3 linked regions of the Arabidopsis thaliana genome follow. The protein of the gene in region 3 binds, or shares a complex with, the protein of the main gene of each other region. Each region holds a gene or a part of one and is shown on either strand. Other genes may lie near its edges. The genes, in order: TIF3B1, EIF3K and TRIP-1.

Region 1 (7,145 bases), on a different chromosome or scaffold from region 3:
TGCTCGGGATTTGGACTAGGGCAACCTGAAGAAGGGATATCAACATGTAATTTCAAAACACCAGGCAGAGAAACAGAAGCAAATTAAGGATTCAGAGCTTTTCATGTACATCAGAAATAATAGAAACATACCTTCGCAGGTTGGTTTCCACCACCTTGTTCAGGAACAAACAATGAAAGGATGGAATCAGTAGGAGACCAGCAGATATCCACAACATTATCTACCTTCATGGATTTCTTGTCTATTAGGCTGAAAGTCTCAGTCTCATAGACAGAGATAGTGTTTTTGCTAAGCTTGGCAAAGTATTTATCATCTTTTCCACCAGCCCATCTGTAGAAAAAGTTTACAAGATATCAACATATGTCCATAATAGTGGAGAAGATGATAATATTGGCTGTTTATTTTTAGGACATTGACATGCAGTTGAAAGAATTACCTGAAAACAGGCCAAGAGGCACCAGCAACACCACCAGGTCCTCCAATTGAAAACTCATCAGCACTACCCTTGAAATCTCTCATCATCCTCCCGGTTCTCACATCAAAAACCTTAATCTCAACTTTCTGAAAGTTTGACAGAATTCAGCGTCACAAATAGTAAAAGTTGAAAAGAACAGAAGAAAAGATGCACTCACACTTGCATCTCGCGGGTTGCTTGGTTCTTGGCTATGGTAAGTTACAAGATATTTCTCACCTGGCGAGAAATCAACTAGTTTTACCTAAAACATAATCAACAAAAGATGCAATTTTCAGGCCAACAGAGGAAAAACGGAAGTAATATGTAGCAATTGAAAGGAAATTCAAACCATAGAATGCTGATAACGCATGAGACGCGTGAATGTATCAGCACCACCCCAAACAGCTGCCCCCTGCTTGTGGAGTGTCACAAGGTATGTACCTAAAGGAGACCACTGCACATAACTCTCTGTCCAATACTGCATAGGAAGAGAACATCATTAATTCAAATGAAGGTAACATAACATATAAAAGTGCTCTAAACAGTCAAGTAAACAAATAAGGGATATTAATTCAAATGAAGGTAACATAACATATACATTGCTCTAAACAGTCAAGTAAACAAAAGGGATATACACACAGGAAGTAACTTACAGGACGCTTATGAACAGGTTCAGGCGCCTTCTGCCTAGTATCATTCCAGAAAACTTCAGTATCAGGGCCAGAACGAATGACTAGCTGGTCTCGGGCTTTTTCATCAGTAAGCCATTTTTGCAAATTTTCCTGAAAAAACAAACACCATATAAGTAACGACAATTAGCACCACAAAAGGCTGCAATGAATTAAAATATATACATGAAACAAGAGTTATGAAATTATAGTTATTAGTTAGTATACATCAATTACGTAAAAAGATCCTAACCCTAACGCAGCAGGCAAACACAAAATAAATCAGCGAATTACCAAAATAAAGAAGTGATTACACAGACACAATGGAAGTTATTCAAAGAAAATTATTCAAGGTACAGGGAGTAACATGATGAAAACTACACATACCCCAGGGACGTAGGGCCTGGCCTGAGGAGGCTCCCACTCCTCCTTCACATTCATCAACCTGTCAAAATCATCGAACATGTTTACAGCAAAGATGTGAGACTTGTCCAACTTGTAGCCATGAGACTTTTCCTTAGCGTTTTGTGCTTCCTGCAAAGAGCCCCAGACATTGAGAGAAACTCTTAGGAAATACTCAACCATTAAGAACAACCTAGTTTGGGCTCCTTTCTAACAAGAGAAATAAAGTATTGAAACATATGACGCCGACATTATTGCTTCAGAATCCAACAAAACAGAGATTAAGCTAATCAAGTAGATAAATAACCTGAGGAGTGTTGAACTCAATAAAACAGTAGCCCAATGTCATCTTGGTATCGGGATCAACAGGCATCCACAGTCCATTTTCCTTAATCACACCTAACTGGTTGTAAATTTTCTTGACAACACCTTCAAGTTTCTCAAACTTCTCCTTGGGAACAACAGGGAGGTGATCGACCACGATAATGTTACCGAATCCAGTGTCGAATTCAGACTGGTCATCCTGGTAAACAGCTTCATCATCACTACAACCATCACAGAAAAAAAAAGTGTATAACGAATCAGTTCCATTTTTCATACGTTCATAGATAAAATGTATAAATATAATAAGCTTTGCACCATCAAGGAAAGAGATAAACCAATTCGAAATACACAAAATTTTCATACATACAATAGCAAAACCTAGAATAAAATCATCCCATCGTATAAACACAAGAAGATTAGAAATAGAAGTGACCGTATATGAACAACCAGAGATCTAAAGGAAAATCTCACCTCTCGATCCCAAAGTCTTCTCCAGGAGGAAGTTGGATGGAATCAAAATTAACCTGAGACCAATCAATCCCTAACTTAGCAGCTCGGGCATCAATATCAACGACCTCCATGATTTCAAACCTTATATCAAAAATCTGCCAAAGAAAGCCATATAGAGAGAGCTATCAGTCTTTAACACATTCCAACTTTAAGTCGATAAATAAATGTGAAAAATCTGAGTCTTTAGATCTAAAAGTAGGTTTTTTGTTAACCCTAAACAAGTATTAAAACAACAAACTACCATGGCCAAATGTTCAAAGACTAAAACTTTGAATCATCACTCCCACTATAATGTAAATCTAAAACCATGCCTATAGAAATTATTAACTATACTCTAGTTTTATTTAATCTAGAACCCAACAACAGGTGAAATGGAGAAAAATGGCAAAATTTTCCTGAAGGCTCTCTTATATCTATTGCATCGTTCTGGATCCTGTCTCATAGCTACATAAGAAAAGACAAAAAAAACAAATGAACACTGAAATCGAGATAAGAAACGTACCCAATACAGAGATCAGCCGAGAGCAAAAAACAAAGAAGAAGACGGCGCTTGAAGGTGAGGAAGAAGGAGCGATTGTTTTCAGGTCTTTTTGGATCATACGACGTCGGTTCCTTAAACGGGCTTATAAATATTTATATGGGCCGGGTAAGCCCAATTCAATAGTAATCAGTAGATCTAATTTATTGTCTTTCTCTCGATTAGCTTTTTTTTTTTTTTAACAATAATCCGTCTCTTTCATTTGGTGTCCTCGAGAACCAAATTCGGATAATCTCTCATCGGAGGATCGTTGTTGTTGTTGCTAGGGTTCTTATCGATTTGTAATGTACAAAACTAAATTAATCCCGGTGATGAACGAGGATGCTGTGATTGTTCAACAAACGGATTCGATTCAGGATCCTAAGGTAACTCCAGATGATACTGTAGTTGATTCGAGCGGGGATGTTCACGAAGCCATTGATGATGATGTTGAAGCTTCTTCACCTATGGAGCTAGATTCGGCGGTTACAAATGACGCTAGGGTTCTCGAAAGTGAGAGATCGGAGAAAGATGGTGTCGTAGGGAGTGAGGAGGAAGATGAGATTAAAAGCGAGGATGTTTTAATTGATAAGGATGATGAGAGTTCTGAGGTTAAAGAAGAAGAAGAAGAAGAAGATGGCTCTGATGATCAATCTAGTGAGCTTGGTTCTGAAGCTGATGAGAAGGAATTAGATTTGGGTTTGAAGGAAGAGAAAAAAGGAGTTTCGGATTATAAATCTCTTTTATCTGAGTTTGATGATTATGTTGCAAGTGAGAAAATGGGTTCTGGAGTTTCGAGGGCATTGAGTTATGGGTTTGAAGTTGGAGATTTGGTTTGGGGAAAGGTAAAGTCTCATCCTTGGTGGCCTGGTCATATATTCAATGAAGCTTTTGCGTCTCCTTCTGTTCGTCGTATGAGGAGGATTGATCATGTTCTTGTTGCGTTTTTCGGTGATAGTAGTTATGGTTGGTTTGATCCTGCTGAGCTTATTCCTTTCGAACCGAATTTAGAGGAGAAATCACAGCAGACGGTTTCGAAGCATTTTGTGAGAGCTGTGGAGGAAGCCAAGGATGAGGCGAGTAGAAGGTCAGCTCTTGGTTTGACTTGTAAATGTCGGAATCCTTATAACTTTAGGCCTAGTAATGTGGAAGATTACTTTGCTGTTGATGTGCCTGATTACGAGCTTCAAGCCGTTTACTCTGTTGATCAGATTAAGAATTCTAGGGATAAGTTTTTACCCGCTGAAACCATTTCGTTTGTGAAGCAATTGGCGTTAGCACCTCAAGAGTGTGATCCAGACAGTTTAAAGTTTATGAAGAAGAAAGCAGTGGTTTTTGCTTTCCGCAAGTCAGTGTTTGAGGAGTTTGATGAAACTTATGCACAGGCCTTTGGGACAAAATCACCCCGCAGTTCAGTGAGTACGCTGGAACCTCATAATAGAGCACCGCCTCGAGGTATTAGCCACTTTTCAGAAAATCATGTTATTGTTTGTATATGGGTTTTTTCGTTGTAGACTTGAAACAGCTTTCATATGTGTTACATAGATATTAGATACTGTAACTTGGTTTTAGGGTTTTACTTTTAGATCCTCTGTGCTCATGATTTTAGGATTTATATCTTTGTAGTTGAATTCTTTACATAGCATGCTTGAAAGAATAGTGAAGTCTCATTGATGCTAAACTGTGCATTCGAAAACGTGGCCTGATAACAATTCTGCGCCTCTTTCTACTATGGAGAGTCCCGCATACATTTACCTTGTTTGCTTTATTGTTCATTTTCTTGGTGGGTGATGTGTTGTTTCAATTTCTCTTATTTCCAGCTCCCTTGAGTGGCCCACTGGTCATAGCAGAAACGCTAGGTGACCTTAAGAGCTCTAAAAAACCCACAAAGGTTAAGGTCTCTAAAAAAAAAGACAAGTATCTTCTCAAACGAAGGGATGAAGCTGGTGATAAGTCTGTTCAGTTTGGCGAAATTGAAGCAAGTTCAGAAGCTTCTCATATCCAGGGAATTGATGGATCTTTGGATGGGGATTTTGGGCTGCAGAGAAGAGCTCCGACGCTTCAAACTCCAATGAAAGATGAGAAGTCTGGGATCGTCAGCATGGATTTTGCCTCTTCAAATACAGCTATTCCTGGTAAAGAATTTTCAGCTTCAAAGCCCTCTCTTGATGAAGAAAAGGGTCTAGCTGAAAAATCAAAGGAGAGAATGGAAGAAAGAGCTGCTGTACTTCCAGAGCATGGGAAATCTGAAGCTATGGCGAGTCTTAAACCTAAAGAAGAAGCTGGAACAGATCTTGGATCAGCTGGAAGTTCTCTCCAGCCTCTGCTTGAGTCTCATACCTCAGCATCTGAGGGGAAAAGTTCCACAGGGTCTGTAATCAAGAAAGTCAAAGTTGCTAAACGATCTTCAAGTGAAATGAGCTCGGAGAATCCTCCTTCAGAGCCAAAAAAGAAAAAGAAAAAGAAGAAAGAGCCTGATTCTGACCATCCAGTGAAGAGAAAAAATTTGTATTCTGGGGAAGCTGGGGCCAAGAAATTGTCCCAGCTTGGTTCAGCGCATTTACAAACCTATATGGAAGCCGATGTGCCGCAGCTGTTGAGCCATCTGCAAGATCTCTCTCTTGACCCTTTCCACGGTTTATCCGTTGCTTCTTTTGGAACTGCTAGGAAATTTTTTCTCCGTTTCCGTTCACTTAATTACCAGAAAAGCTTGTCTGTATCTTCCTCTGATGCTACTGTCGAAAATGCCAGAGACACAAAACCCTCAAAACCTGTCAAGACAGTGAAGAGAACCGAAGACCCATCAAAAGCTGGAAAAAAACGGCTCTCTTCTGATCGTCAAGATGAAATCCCATCAGCTAAGAAGCTGAAGAAAACTAATCAGTTGAAATCAATGGCTTCTGAAAAGAAGATCATTCGAGAAGCAAAGGATAGTATAAAACCAATAAGAGAGCCAAGCAGGGTGGTACAAGCAAAACCAGCCAGAGGTCAAACCGGGAAGAAAACAGCTCCATCAGTTAAGGTGGTTGAGCCAACAATGCTGGTCATGAAATTCCCACCTGGCACATCTCTCCCTTCAGCCGCATTGCTAAAGGCGAGGTTTGGTCGCTTCGGGCTGTTAGATCAATCCGCCATTAGGGTTTTCTGGAAATCATCGACCTGCCGTGTTGTCTTTCTGTACAAAGCCGATGCCCAGACTGCTTTTCGATATGCAACAGGAAACAACACTCTATTTGGAAACGTGAATGTAAAGTACTTTCTCCGTGATGTGGATGCTCCTAAAGCCGAGCCTCGTGAGCCAGAAAACACCAAGGAAGATGATGAACCACAGAGCCAGTGGTTGGACCAAGCACCACCGCTTCACCAACCAACATTACCGCCACCAAACGTCAACCTCAAATCCTGTTTGAAGAAACCAGTTGATGACCCGAGCAGTAGTAGCAACAATGGAAACGGTAACCGCGCAGCCGTAAGAGTCAAATTCATGTTAGGTGGTGAAGAAAACTCGAGTAAAGCAAACACCGAGCCACCACAGGTCACAATGACCTTGAATAGAAACAGTGGACCTTCTTCATCATCATCATCTGTTCCAATGGAATTTGTTAGTAAGAAGTTTCAAAACGTTGTTCATCATCAACAGCTTCCTCCTTCTACATTGCCTCCAATTCTTCCTCTCCCTCCACAATACACAAAACCACAACAACTTCCCATTAAACCAGTAGACCACGTCGAACCACCAATGCCACCTTCAAGAAACTTCCGTGGCCCGATCCCAGCGGTTAGCGCTGGGGACATCTCTCACCAGATGCTCAACCTTTTGTCAAAATGCAACGAAGTAGTGGCTAACGTCACGGGCTTATTGGGCTACGTCCCTTATCATCCCTTGTAACAAAACGAAGCCCGTTGAGAGAAAATGTGAGTGTTTGTTTGGTTTTTGGTGATAATATTGTATGTTAGGTATTAGTTTGGTTCGTTAACTTTAAATCATGTATTACAATTTATAATGATGAATCTCTCTCCCTCTCCCTCTCCCAGGCTTGTTTTATATTTCGTGTATTATTTTTTGAAGTTGTATGCTTTTGATATTTGATGCACTATGCGGAACCAATTCCATTGTTGTGTTACGTTATATATTCTCATTTGGTCTTAATCTACTTGGTGTAAATTTAGGCCTGCCCAAAATGGCTGAGCAAAGTTGAAAATTAAAGCTATAGGAAGAAATTGTGATTACAGTAAAAAAAATATAAAATTTTGATCTTATTCAAAAAAA
Region 2 (4,804 bases), on a different chromosome or scaffold from region 3:
TCTGTTGCTAAACTTTCTGTTGTGATTAACAGACTTCTGAGAGAACCTTGGATGCACCTGACATTGTTGACGATTTCTACCTCAACTTGCTGGACTGGGGAAGTGCAAATGTCTTAGCCATAGCGTTGGACCACACTGTCTACTTGTGGGATGCTTCCACTGGTTCTACATCTGAGCTTGTGACCATTGATGAGGAGAAGGGACCTGTCACAAGTATCAACTGGGCTCCTGATGGTCGTCATGTTGCAGTTGGACTCAACAACTCTGAAGTCCAGCTGTGGGATTCTGCATCCAACCGTCAAGTAATTACTACTCTCTCTCTTTTATGTTGAGATATAATATCCGGTGTTCTTAGTCTGATGTGTTTCTCATATTTCTGCAGCTGAGAACATTAAAGGGTGGTCACCAGTCAAGAGTAGGATCACTGGCATGGAACAATCATATCCTTACTACTGGAGGAATGGATGGACTGATCATCAACAATGATGTGAGGATCAGATCACCCATTGTGGAAACTTACAGAGGTCACACTCAAGAAGTTTGTGGGCTCAAGTGGTCAGGATCTGGACAACAACTAGCAAGTGGTGGCAACGACAATGTGGTACACATCTGGGATCGTTCTGTCGCTTCCTCAAACTCAACCACACAATGGCTGCACAGGCTTGAGGAACATACATCTGCTGTGAAGGCTCTTGCGTGGTGCCCTTTCCAAGCGAATTTGCTTGCAACTGGTGGTGGTGGAGGAGACAGGACGATAAAGTTCTGGAATACTCACACTGGGGCTTGCTTGAATTCAGTAGACACTGGTTCCCAAGTTTGTTCGTTGTTATGGAGCAAGAATGAAAGAGAGTTGCTTAGCTCACATGGGTTTACACAGAATCAGCTTACACTTTGGAAGTACCCATCCATGGTGAAAATGGCTGAGCTCACTGGTCATACATCAAGAGTTCTATATATGGCCCAGGTAACGTCATCAATTTCTTTAAGTGGTGAAGTAGTTTGAGTCTTTGAGGTCATTCAGTCCTTAAACTTGTGTTGTTTGTTGTGTTTTCTACAGAGTCCAGATGGTTGTACTGTAGCTTCAGCAGCAGGAGACGAGACCCTGAGGTTTTGGAACGTTTTTGGAGTACCAGAGACTGCAAAAAAAGCTGCACCAAAAGCAGTTGCCGAGCCATTTTCTCATGTGAATCGTATTCGATGAAGCTGTTGAAGACTAAAACAACAAGGAAAACCCATTGATTGTTACAAAAAGAAACTATATATTTTTATTTTTATTTTATTACCAAAGGATTCATTCTTCGTGAATATAAAGATTACTTGTATATATTGAAATTTGAAAAAAGAAAGATTATGATTTTATACTCTTGAAGGATATCCACATTTATTATTCTACTGGAAACAAAGTGAGACTTCATGAAGTTGTGATCAGAGAACTCGTAGATGCTGACAGTTTTGTTTGAAAAGATGTTCACTGGTGAACTTTTGGACCATGGTTAATCGAATGCAAACTCTAGTGTAGTATCAATCTTTAAAAGCAAACTGAGAAAATATTTATTTACCGAGTCTGTGGCATCAAAATGGCTTAAAAATAGTTATTTACTAAACAACCCTTTGTAGTTTCTCTGTCATCCTAATTTAACCCAAACGTTTTGTCAATTGCACCATTAGCCCAAACGACAAAGCTTTGTCGTTTTGGCTTTTAAACCCTAGATTCGTCTTATCAGCGAATCTCCTCTGCACATTCCTCAGTGATCTATCAAAGTTCGAAGAGACCGACGCAAAAGGGACAGAAACGGAGAAGGAGAAAGAGGCAGAGATGGGAGTAGAGATCCAATCGCCGCAGGAACAGAGCTCTTACACCGTTGAGCAGCTCGTCGCCCTTAATCCTTTCAACCCTGAAATCCTGCCTGATCTCGAAAACTACGTTAACGTGCAGTTTCCTTTCCCTTTTCTCTCAAGCCGGATTCTGTTGTAGAAATCGTGTTCCATTGATTGTTGTTGGTTTCGTTATGATTTTCAGGTTACATCGCAAACGTATAGTCTGGAAGTAAACCTATGCTTGCTTCGGCTCTATCAGGTGCTCTAGTTGTTCTTAAGCTGGACCTTTTGATACCAAATTCAAGAGTTTTAGTGTCTCTTTTCGTTAATTGGTATTGTTGCTTTTATGCAGTTTGAGCCTGAGCGCATGAACACTCATATCGTGGCTCGAATCTTGGTCAAGGCTCTTATGGCTATGCCAACTCCAGACTTCAGCCTTTGCCTCTTCTTGATTCCCGAAAGAGTGGTATTCTTCTTTCCTCTTAACTTCACAATGTTTTGCTTTCTTACATATATAGCTTATCGTAGATACAGAAGAAACGATTGTTCAAATGTTTCTGACTCAAGTTATTATGCCATTCCAAGTTATTTCTGTCAGTTCAGTCTGTGTACTGAGCATTCATGATAAAGTGTGAGTTTCAATGTGTTGGATTCTTGAGGACTAATAAATGTACTTGTTTGGATTGTGTGTTTCAGCAAATGGAGGAGCAGTTCAAGTCACTAATTGTTCTATCACACTACCTTGAGGTACGCAAACATCAGTATTAGTTAGTTGAGAGTTGAAAAGGTGTGCATTGAGTATTTAAAGCACTTGTTTTTCTTTTGCAGACTGGGAGGTTCCAACAGTTCTGGGATGAAGCTGCCAAGAACCGTCACATTCTCGAGGCTGTTCCAGGTAACTAACTTCTGAATCATAAATAAATCGTCTACTAATAACAAATTTCTAGATGTAGATTTGTTACTTAAGGATATTTGTGTGTAGATGTCTTATGGTACGAACAAAGTCCTCAGTAGTGGTTTATGGTACTGTCTATTCATTTTATGATTGTGTCTAGTGTAGATGTCTTATATGCGAGAGATTAAATGCAGGTTTTGAGCAAGCTATTCAAGCATATGCAAGTCACCTTCTTAGCTTAAGCTACCAAAAGGTTCCAAGATCAGTGCTGGCTGAGGTATGATGTTTGGTTTATGATCTCGTTTTCACCACGGATAGCTTAAGTCATCAAAATAGTAGAACTTCGGATGTGAAATCTTTTACTTTCTCATATAATTTTCTGTTACGAATATTCCACATCATAGTTCTGGAAATCTAATTTGTTGACCTTTTATTTGTCAATAAATGACAATTTTCACAGGCTGTTAACATGGATGGTGCATCTCTAGACAAATTCATCGAGCAGCAAGTGACTAACAGTGGATGGATTGTTGAGAAAGAGGGTGGAAGTATTGTCTTACCACAAAATGAATTTAACCATCCGGAGCTCAAGAAAAATACAGGTGAGAATGTTCCCTTGGAACACATTGCCCGCATCTTCCCCATCCTTGGTTGAACCAATTCATGAGAACACTGCAAATTTTCCTTTTGTCTCTTGTTATCTTGTGATGTACACTTTTAAGACACCGTAATGTGAATTTTGGCAATGGCCTTCCTCTTTGCAATTTGACAGATTTTCTTAAAAATCTAGTAGACCGAGACTTTGCCATAATTAGTAGATCTTCATAGTCTGAGCTCTGCTTCTTACCTTTTTTTTTACCTTCCATGGATTCCAATACTGGTTTCTCAACAAGTGTTGGAATTGGCTCGTTTCTGATTGATTATCTTCTGTTTACTTCATTACATCTAAATAAACTAAACGAATCTTCAGACAACCCAAACAATTGTCTTCTTTAAAAAGCAAAGGAAAAAAAAAACTTTTGTTTAGGTTTCTTGGAATATAGAAACTGACACGGCAAATTTGTATTGAGAAAGTTTGAAATACAAAGAGACTGTCTATGTCTTGTCGTCCTCTCTACACAGATCACATACGAAGATTGACAGCCATCCATTTGGAAGCTCACATGTTGACACCAAATCATGTCACGTGCACAATTTTCTCTTTTCCCATGCATATTTTGACTGCTCCCTATGTGATAAATTTGACTGATTAAACTATAATTAGTTAGATCATCTCGTATCTAAGATGATTGCTTAAAACAATACTATTATTCTACTAACAACTAGGTTATTCCCAAGATCATAACTTTTGATTTTGATGTAACTAGTTTTGTAATTTTGTACATATATGAGACTTTTTTGAATTGCTTAACAGAATAAATAATTGAATTTTATGAATATAATATATAAATTTTCAATTTGATCGACAACAATGAACGGTGTTTTATTTATAATTGTTTTTTTGACAATCATGAACCTAATGATTTGTTTTTTCTATTTTATTTAGTCGACATAATGAAGACTAATGAAGATACAATATGTGATTGAAGTGAACAAGTTAGATTTAATTAAGATACGTGGAGGATATAAAGAAGGGTGATAAATACGTGAATAAAAAGTGAAATAAACAAAGGCAAACGATCAGACAGACAAGTCGTGAACATAAAAACGGGAGAGACAGGAAAAACAAAAGAAAGCCAGACGAGCACCAAAAAAGAAACTGCAAATCTTCGTTTATGTAAATCTTCTTACCGTCTCTCTCTTGTATTTCTTCAATTTCAAAGGTGGCTTTTTTTTCTTTCTTTGTTGGGTATTAATCTGAGAGAAATTGAGGAAAACTGTTTTCCCCTTTCTATGTTCTCAGCTTGGCACTTTTCTTTGAGATTATGGTTAATTGGTTCCCTTTTGGAAATTGATTTCAAATCTTATCCAGAAGAAATTTGGTGCCTTCTGTTTTTAAACAAATTTTCTAGAGTTTCCGTGTTTAATTTTTGTTTCTTATTTTGTTTTCTATTAAAAAATTCGTTTCTTGCTCGTGTTAGTTTTCGCATT
Region 3 (7,145 bases):
GTTTTTCCAAATCCTCGAATCCTTCCGTCTTGTTACTGTATAGTTACCCTGCAACGTAATAATTAATAATCTCATATAAAAGTTTAGAAATTTTGGATGTAATTAACATCAAAAACCAAAATCCTAATTACTGATAATTTTGTACCATTTGAGTGTATTGAGAATGCATTTAGGTGAATCAGTATCAAGCTTGTTCAAGCTAACGCCACCGCATCTCAAATTAACGGCGAGCATTCCGATCTTAATACCGCCGACACCTAATCCAACTTTAGTCTTGGCAACAACGTTAATGACCAAATCTTTGCTCTGAAATTTCGCAGCGAGTCTCTTAGCCAATCCTCTCTCCACGAGCTGATTCTTCACCGTCGTCTCCACTTTCACGCTCGTCGAGTTTTTGGGACCTTGTCGGAATCCATTCATCGTCGTCTCTCCCATCCCGGTCTCATCGTTTCCCGAACCAACGCTCAAATCAACGGCAGTGTTTCCGTAGTAAAAAACGAGTTTCGAGTTCGGATTCTTCATCTCAACGCGGGCAACGGCGGTGGCGGAGAGAGACGCGCCGTCGGGATCGTCGGCGAGTTTGAAGCCGTCGAGACGGAAGGAAGCGAGGCTGAAAGTGGGAAGCTTAGGATCGAACCAGAGGTAGAAAACAGCTGTTCCGACCAAGAGGAGGAAGATGAAGAGAACAAGAGTAATGCAGATGCAACAGCAACAGAAACGACAACAGCTTCTACGTTTTTTCTTTGGTCGGTAAGAAGTAGGCATAGGGACGGCTTTTCTCATAGGTTGTTGTTGAATGGGAGGTGGAGGAGGAGGAGGAGAGGACATGTTTGGATCTCTGTAACCTGGTGGCTTTTGAAGAACCGGGTTCATCTGATAATCTGCCATCTTTTTTCTCTTAATTATTCACCTCTCTGACGATCTCCTGATAAATCGTATCAAGGAAGATCAAAACGAAATCTTCAAAATGGAGAGAGAGATGCTATGATGATGATGATTGCAGGCAAACTTGGTTTCTAAGAGATTTTGAGTTTTTGGAAGAGAGAGAGAGAGAAGAGAATGTTTTTTTGTGTTGCGTTGTCTCTTCTCTCTCGTTAATGGAAGAAGGCTGAGACGTGAGGAAGGGATTTCGTTTTAGGCCCGAGACTCACGCGCGCCGTTTTTGTTGCTGACGTGTTCCCTCTTTTTTCTCTTCTTCCTACATTCATTGAAATATTCAAATTTCAGTTATTAGATTAGTCGATTAATTTATAACTGATAATCATATTGAGTTTGATACATCCAAAGTGGCATGGGCCTACAGATTAGATGTTTAGGCCAGGTGGACTCTGTTTCGAGCCCATTACTGCCACGTGGCTCTATTCGGAGTTATTTACCAATGGTACGCTCACCGGTTTAACGATTCACCACTTAAAGCCCTCAAAATCTCAGAGAACGCTCGCTGATCAAATCCGTCGTCCTTCAACCGTCGCCTCCTCCGTCATGACAATTGAGTGCGTTAATCCCGAAGGTCTTCGATTCAACCAAGTATGTGCACATATCTCTTCCTCCGTTTGGTCATGTACTTGTTTCCGATTAATGTATTATCTTTTGTTCTTTCTATTGAATTGATTTCGTATCTGTTTGCAAGATGAAAAGCTCCTCTCATCAAACCCTAGAAACGAGGATGAGGCCGATTTTGATGAAGGGACATGAACGTCCATTGACGTTCCTGAGGTACAACAGAAATGGTGATCTGCTTTTCTCCTGCGCCAAAGACCACACTCCCACAGTCTGGTTTGCCGATAACGGCGAGCGTCTTGGCACTTACCGTGGCCACAGTGGTGCTGTTTGGTGCTGTGATATCTCCAGTAAGTGGTCTCAGCCTCTCAAATTCAAATAGTATATAGTGGATGGAATGGATTCAGTTTAGGATTTAAGTCGTTGTCTTTGTTGTTTTAGTCTTTCATAGCTTAACGATTAGTGTTTTGTTTGTGATTTCTTAGGAGACTCGTCTAGATTGATCACTGGTAGTGCTGATCAGACTGCAAAGCTGTGGGATGTGAAATCTGGCAAAGAATTGTTCACTTTCAAGTTTGGTGCCCCTGCAAGGTCTGTGGATTTCTCTGTTGGTGATCATCTTGCAGTGATTACCACTGATCACTTCGTGGGAACTTCCTCTGCTATTCATGTCAAACGCATTGCAGAAGATCCCGAAGACCGTAAGTTGTCAATTCTAAGTTAAAATCTACTTATGTTTTTTAGCCTATGTCTTTTTTGTATGGGTAAAAGGAATTGATTTAATGTAATTGATGTAGAGGTTGGTGATTCTGTGCTTGTCCTTCAAAGTCCTGATGGAAAGAAGAAGATCAATAGAGCTGTTTGGGGTCCCCTGAACCAAACCATTGTTAGTGGTGGTGAAGATGCTGCTATCAGAATCTGGGATGCAGAGGTATTTCAACTTTCTTAAGGCCTTTCTTTTGTCTATCAATATCTCTCTTTTTTTTTTTATTAGCTTAAACCTTATGTGGTGCTACTGCCATTGTTACTAGACTGGAAAATTGCTTAAGCAATCAGATGAGGAAGTGGGTCACAAGGAGGCCATTACATCCCTCTGCAAAGCAGCTGATGACTCTCACTTCCTTACAGGTTCACATGACAAAACTGCAAAGGCATGTGCTTCTTTCTTTTACTTGTTTCAAAAATATGCTCTATACATATTACATATAGAGATAAATCATCTAATAGAGTGTTCTTTTTGTTGATTCTTTCAGCTTTGGGACATGAGAACGCTGACTCTTATTAAGACTTACACCACTGTGGTGCCTGTAAATGCTGTCGCCATGTCTCCACTTCTCAACCATGTATGCACTAATGCTTCTTGAAATTCAAATTCGGTTCCCAAAAGCAACAAGTCTTGATGTTATCTTTGTGAATGTTTCTGCTCTCGCTCTTTTAGGTTGTGCTTGGAGGTGGTCAAGATGCATCAGCTGTGACTACCACTGATCATCGTGCTGGGAAGTTTGAAGCTAAGTTTTACGACACGGTTAGTGTTGCAGTAAAACAGTTTTATTTAAAAACTTGTAACCTGGAAAGAGATATGTAACTGTGTATTTGGTCTTATAATATATAGATTCTGCAAGAGGAAATTGGTGGCGTGAAAGGTCATTTTGGACCTATTAATGCTTTGGCATTCAGTCCTGATGGGAAGAGGTAAACTAACAAAATTTGATTTTGATTGATTGATACAATCCTCAGTTGATGAGAGTGTTTTTTAGGCTTTGTTGCTGAGTGTTTTTTGGAATGTATTTTCAGTTTCTCTAGTGGAGGTGAAGACGGCTACGTGAGACTGCATCATTTTGACTCCAATTACTTCAACATCAAGATTTAGATTCTTTGAACATGTCTTTCCATTTTTTCATCATTCCACATAATATTTTCTCTCTTTTTAACATTTTCAGAATTGATGTACTACCAAATTACCAATATACTACTTTGATGATAAAGCTTGTTGTTTGTCTTTTCAAATAGACATATGCACCCACAAAAAAAAAACGTATGAAACTGCTTTTGAGAAAGGAAAAAAACAAAATAGGCGCAACGGGCGAGGTTCGAACTCATCAAATAGGGAAGAAGCTAAAAACGCTGAAGCCACTGAGCTTTGCTAAACTGTGGCATCTCGAGTAATTTAAAAAATTACAAAAGGGTAAAAGTGTCAAAAGAGAGGACAAAGTTGATTTCCTAGGGTTTTTGCACTTCTTCCTCGTCGTCTCTCTCGTCTTCAAGTGAACAGGTGAAGAAGAAAGCCGTTTTCCGTAATCGTTTCTTCAATTATTTTTCTTGTCTTTTGATTGATTCGATTTCGTATCTGTTTCAAAGATTCGCATCAAACCCTAAGAAACTGAAGATGAGGCCGATCCTGATGAAGGGACATGAACGTCCATTGACGTTTCTGAGGTACAACAGAGAAGGAGATCTGCTTTTCTCCTGCGCCAAGGACCACACACCCACCCTCTGGTTTGCCGATAACGGCGAGCGCCTTGGAACTTACCGTGGTCACAACGGTGCTGTTTGGTGCTGTGATGTCTCCCGTAAGTTTCTCAATTTCTCTTCAAATAGTATCGAGTCGATGATTAGATTCATTGTTTCCCCTTAGCTACAAGCTTGTTTAGGGTTTATAGTATCGAGTGAATTCTGTCGTCTTAGTCTTTCAAAGCTGAATGTTTAGTGATTTCTTAGGAGACTCGTCAAGATTGATCACTGGTAGTGCTGATCAGACTGCAAAGCTGTGGGATGTAAAATCTGGAAAAGAATTGTTCACTTTCAAGTTTAATGCCCCTACGAGGTCTGTGGATTTCGCTGTTGGAGATCGTCTTGCAGTGATTACCACTGATCACTTCGTGGACCGTACCGCTGCTATTCATGTGAAGCGTATTGCGGAAGATCCTGAGGAACGTAAGTTGTACATTCCTAGCTGAATTACTACTTACGTTTTAGCCAACTTCTTGTATGTGTTAAAAGGAAATTGTTTGTTTGATGCAATTGTGTAGAGGATGCTGAGTCTGTGCTTGTCCTTCATTGTCCTGATGGAAAGAAGAGGATCAATAGAGCTGTTTGGGGTCCCCTGAACCAAACTATTGTTAGTGGTGGTGAAGATAAAGTTATCAGAATCTGGGATGCCGAGGTATTTCAATTTTTCTTAAGGCCTTACTTGTGTATTAATTTCTCTCTTTTAAGGTTATGAACTAAACCTTATGTGGTGCTACTGCCATTGTTACTAGACGGGAAAATTGCTCAAGCAATCAGATGAGGAAGTGGGTCACAAGAAGGACATTACATCGCTCTGCAAAGCAGCTGATGACTCTCACTTCCTTACAGGTTCACTTGACAAAACTGCAAAGGCATGTGCTTCTTTCTTTTACTTGTACAGTATATCTTGTTTCAAATTTTTGCACTATACATATAGATATAAATCATCTAATAGAGTGTTCTCTTTTGTTGATTGTTTCAGCTTTGGGACATGAGAACGCTGACTCTTCTTAAGACTTACACCACTGTGGTGCCCGTAAATGCTGTCTCCCTGTCTCCACTTCTCAACCATGTATGCACTAATGCTTCATGAAATTCAATTTCGAATCCCAGAATCAGCAAGGCATGATGTTATCTTTGTGAATGTTTCTGCTCTCTCTTTTAGGTTGTACTTGGAGGTGGTCAAGATGCATCAGCTGTGACTACCACTGATCATCGTGCTGGAAAGTTTGAAGCTAAGTTTTACGACAAGGTTAGTGTTTATAATAAGAGTGTTTTACTTGGAAACATGTAACCTGGAAAATACACATATTTAAATAACCGTGTATCATTGTGTTTGGTATAATATATAGATTCTGCAAGAGGAAATTGGTGGTGTGAAAGGTCATTTTGGACCTATAAATGCTTTGGCATTCAATCCTGATGGGAAGAGGTAAATTAACAACATTTGGATTTTGATTGATTGACACAATCCTCACATGATGAGGTTTTGAGTGTGTGTTTTGGCTCTCTCACTGAGTTTGTGGAATGTATATTTCAGTTTCTCTAGTGGAGGTGAAGACGGTTACGTGAGGCTGCATCATTTTGACTCCGACTACTTCAACATCAAGATTTAGATTCCGACTACTTGAACGTCAACCTTTTAGAATCTTTGAAAAAGTCTCCCATTCCGGATTTTGTTTTCTCTCTCTTTTAACATTTTCATGTTTTTATTTACTACCAATACAAATACCTTGATGATAAAGCTTTTGAATTTTGACAGAATCTTTAGTTTTCATTTCCAGAGTTCTCAGTACAAGTTAATTAACCTGCTCTATGTGTGAGCGAGCATTAATATTCAGCTTTTATAAAATAAACTCGGTTGTAGAAAAGAATGCCTTGTGTGATTGACAGTCCTCAAGAGTAGCGAAGAAAATCACCCAAAGACAGACTCATAATGTTTGTGATATTCGTGATGATTATTGGATCTATAAATTTTCGGAGAGAGATGTATGAAACCTGAAAAGAAAGATCCTTTATGCATGAAACCTTGACAAAAGAAACAAAAGCTTACGCAAAGCAATAACACCGATTTCATAAAATTACATCAGGTCTAAAACAAGGAAATGCAACAAAGGAAGCCATTTTATAAAAAAAGAAAAGCCTCTCTATATTAACAGTAACAAACCATAACACCAAATTTTCATCTGGAGGAAAAGTTTCTCTTTCTCCCTCTCTCTCTCCGAAAATTTATAGATCAATAATCATCACACCTCTCTCTCTCTCTCTCTCTCTACTATACTATCTATCAAGTTTTTCTGAAATTAGTAGCACTTATTTTCTTTGTTTATGTCGACAAATTAAGTAGAAATCGACATGAATTACCATCGATCAGCCTGCAGCTACTGCTTTAGCTCGAGGCTTCGTATCGAGCAGTTGATGCAATTTGCTTGTAGAGTTAGAATCATTGTCTCCTTGGTTCTTGTTCTTATCTCCAGCTCCTGAGTTCTTAACTCTAGACAACATATTTGCGGGGACTCTCTTTTCGGGTTCCGAGCATTTCAGTTTGTCCTGCAACCCAAAAAGAACCGGCCATGTTCAAGAAAATGACACGCCTTCATAAAGATAATTTGTTGGTTAATGATAGCTTACTTACCAACAAGGTTGCATTTGCTCCTCTTAGTTTATCAGATTTCTCATTAAGTTGGTTTAGTTCAGATCTTAATGCCATGTTTTCGGCTGTCAAGGCTTCCACTTTCCTAGCAAGTTCTTCTGTCTCGGCCTTCAAAACAAGGAAAGACAGTTTGTTAGTTTATTAAATGTTTTGGTGAGAGTTACACACTAAGAGAAAGAATTTCTAAAGAGCTTCAGTGTATTCTTTCAGTAACCAAACCTGTTTCCTTAATCTTGACCTTCTAGCAGATTCTCTATTAGACTGTTTCCTTCGCTCCCGTTTCAGTTCTCTCTCGTTCTGAAGACAAAATTTAATACTTGGTCAGGGAAACGGATCAGATTAGCTCGAAAATCCAACAAGTGGAAGTTGAGAATAAGTCACAGGGTACCTGAAGCCAAGTTTCAGGAGGAACCATGGCTAAAGATTGTGACATGAAGGGGTTGGAATTTGCACTTACACCAGGAGAGAGTATAGCTCCAGATCC

The links.
Region 1: TRIP-1 (region 3) and TIF3B1 share a complex: the UniProt entries of both Arabidopsis thaliana proteins name them as parts of the eukaryotic translation initiation factor 3 (eIF-3) complex.
Region 2: TRIP-1 (region 3) and EIF3K share a complex: the UniProt entries of both Arabidopsis thaliana proteins name them as parts of the eukaryotic translation initiation factor 3 (eIF-3) complex.

Annotation. Positions count from the first base shown.
Region 1 is NC_003076.8:9,782,331-9,789,475, forward strand, and holds the start of TIF3B1 (translation initiation factor 3B1), read right to left. Parts: upstream 2,959-7,145; 5' UTR 2,861-2,958; intron 2,846-2,860; exon of another isoform or gene 2,454-2,845; 5' UTR 2,430-2,453; coding exon 2,320-2,429; intron 2,070-2,319; coding exon 1,832-2,069; intron 1,735-1,831; coding exon 1,510-1,734; intron 1,237-1,509; coding exon 1,108-1,236; intron 933-1,107; coding exon 804-932; intron 717-803; coding exon 633-716; intron 562-632; coding exon 437-561; intron 331-436; coding exon 132-330; intron 26-131; coding exon 1-25. Other genes in the region: AT5G27650 (Tudor/PWWP/MBT superfamily protein), read left to right, coding at 3,181-4,330, 4,696-6,764. UniProt on the Arabidopsis thaliana protein: RNA-binding component of the eukaryotic translation initiation factor 3 (eIF-3) complex, which is involved in protein synthesis of a specialized repertoire of mRNAs and, together with other initiation factors, stimulates binding of mRNA and methionyl-tRNAi to the 40S ribosome.
Region 2 is NC_003075.7:16,037,630-16,042,433, reverse strand, and holds EIF3K (eukaryotic translation initiation factor 3K), read left to right. Parts: upstream 1-1,625; 5' UTR 1,626-1,816; coding exon 1,817-1,930; intron 1,931-2,020; coding exon 2,021-2,077; intron 2,078-2,170; coding exon 2,171-2,284; intron 2,285-2,514; coding exon 2,515-2,565; intron 2,566-2,646; coding exon 2,647-2,713; intron 2,714-2,907; coding exon 2,908-2,990; intron 2,991-3,173; coding exon 3,174-3,368; 3' UTR 3,369-3,783; downstream 3,784-4,804. Other genes in the region: CDC20.2 (Transducin family protein / WD-40 repeat family protein), read left to right, coding at 33-302, 383-964, 1,058-1,201. UniProt on the Arabidopsis thaliana protein: Component of the eukaryotic translation initiation factor 3 (eIF-3) complex, which is involved in protein synthesis of a specialized repertoire of mRNAs and, together with other initiation factors, stimulates binding of mRNA and methionyl-tRNAi to the 40S ribosome.
Region 3 is NC_003071.7:19,002,135-19,009,279, reverse strand, and holds TRIP-1 (TGF-beta receptor interacting protein 1), read left to right. Parts: upstream 1-3,547; 5' UTR 3,548-3,772; exon of another isoform or gene 3,773-3,858; 5' UTR 3,859-3,886; coding exon 3,887-4,070; intron 4,071-4,218; coding exon 4,219-4,434; intron 4,435-4,529; coding exon 4,530-4,663; intron 4,664-4,760; coding exon 4,761-4,880; intron 4,881-4,990; coding exon 4,991-5,080; coding exon of another isoform or gene 5,081-5,101; exon of another isoform or gene 5,102-5,173; coding exon 5,174-5,260; intron 5,261-5,360; coding exon 5,361-5,440; intron 5,441-5,548; coding exon 5,549-5,624; 3' UTR 5,625-6,122; downstream 6,123-7,145. Other genes in the region: AT2G46300 (Late embryogenesis abundant (LEA) hydroxyproline-rich glycoprotein family), read right to left, coding at 33-48, 146-888; AT2G46290 (Transducin/WD40 repeat-like superfamily protein), read left to right, coding at 1,483-1,527, 1,631-1,850, 1,986-2,201, 2,298-2,431, 2,532-2,651, 2,754-2,843, 2,939-3,025, 3,113-3,192 and 1 more; GBF3 (G-box binding factor 3), read right to left, coding at 6,379-6,558, 6,644-6,769, 6,881-6,958, 7,050-7,145. UniProt on the Arabidopsis thaliana protein: Component of the eukaryotic translation initiation factor 3 (eIF-3) complex, which is involved in protein synthesis of a specialized repertoire of mRNAs and, together with other initiation factors, stimulates binding of mRNA and methionyl-tRNAi to the 40S ribosome.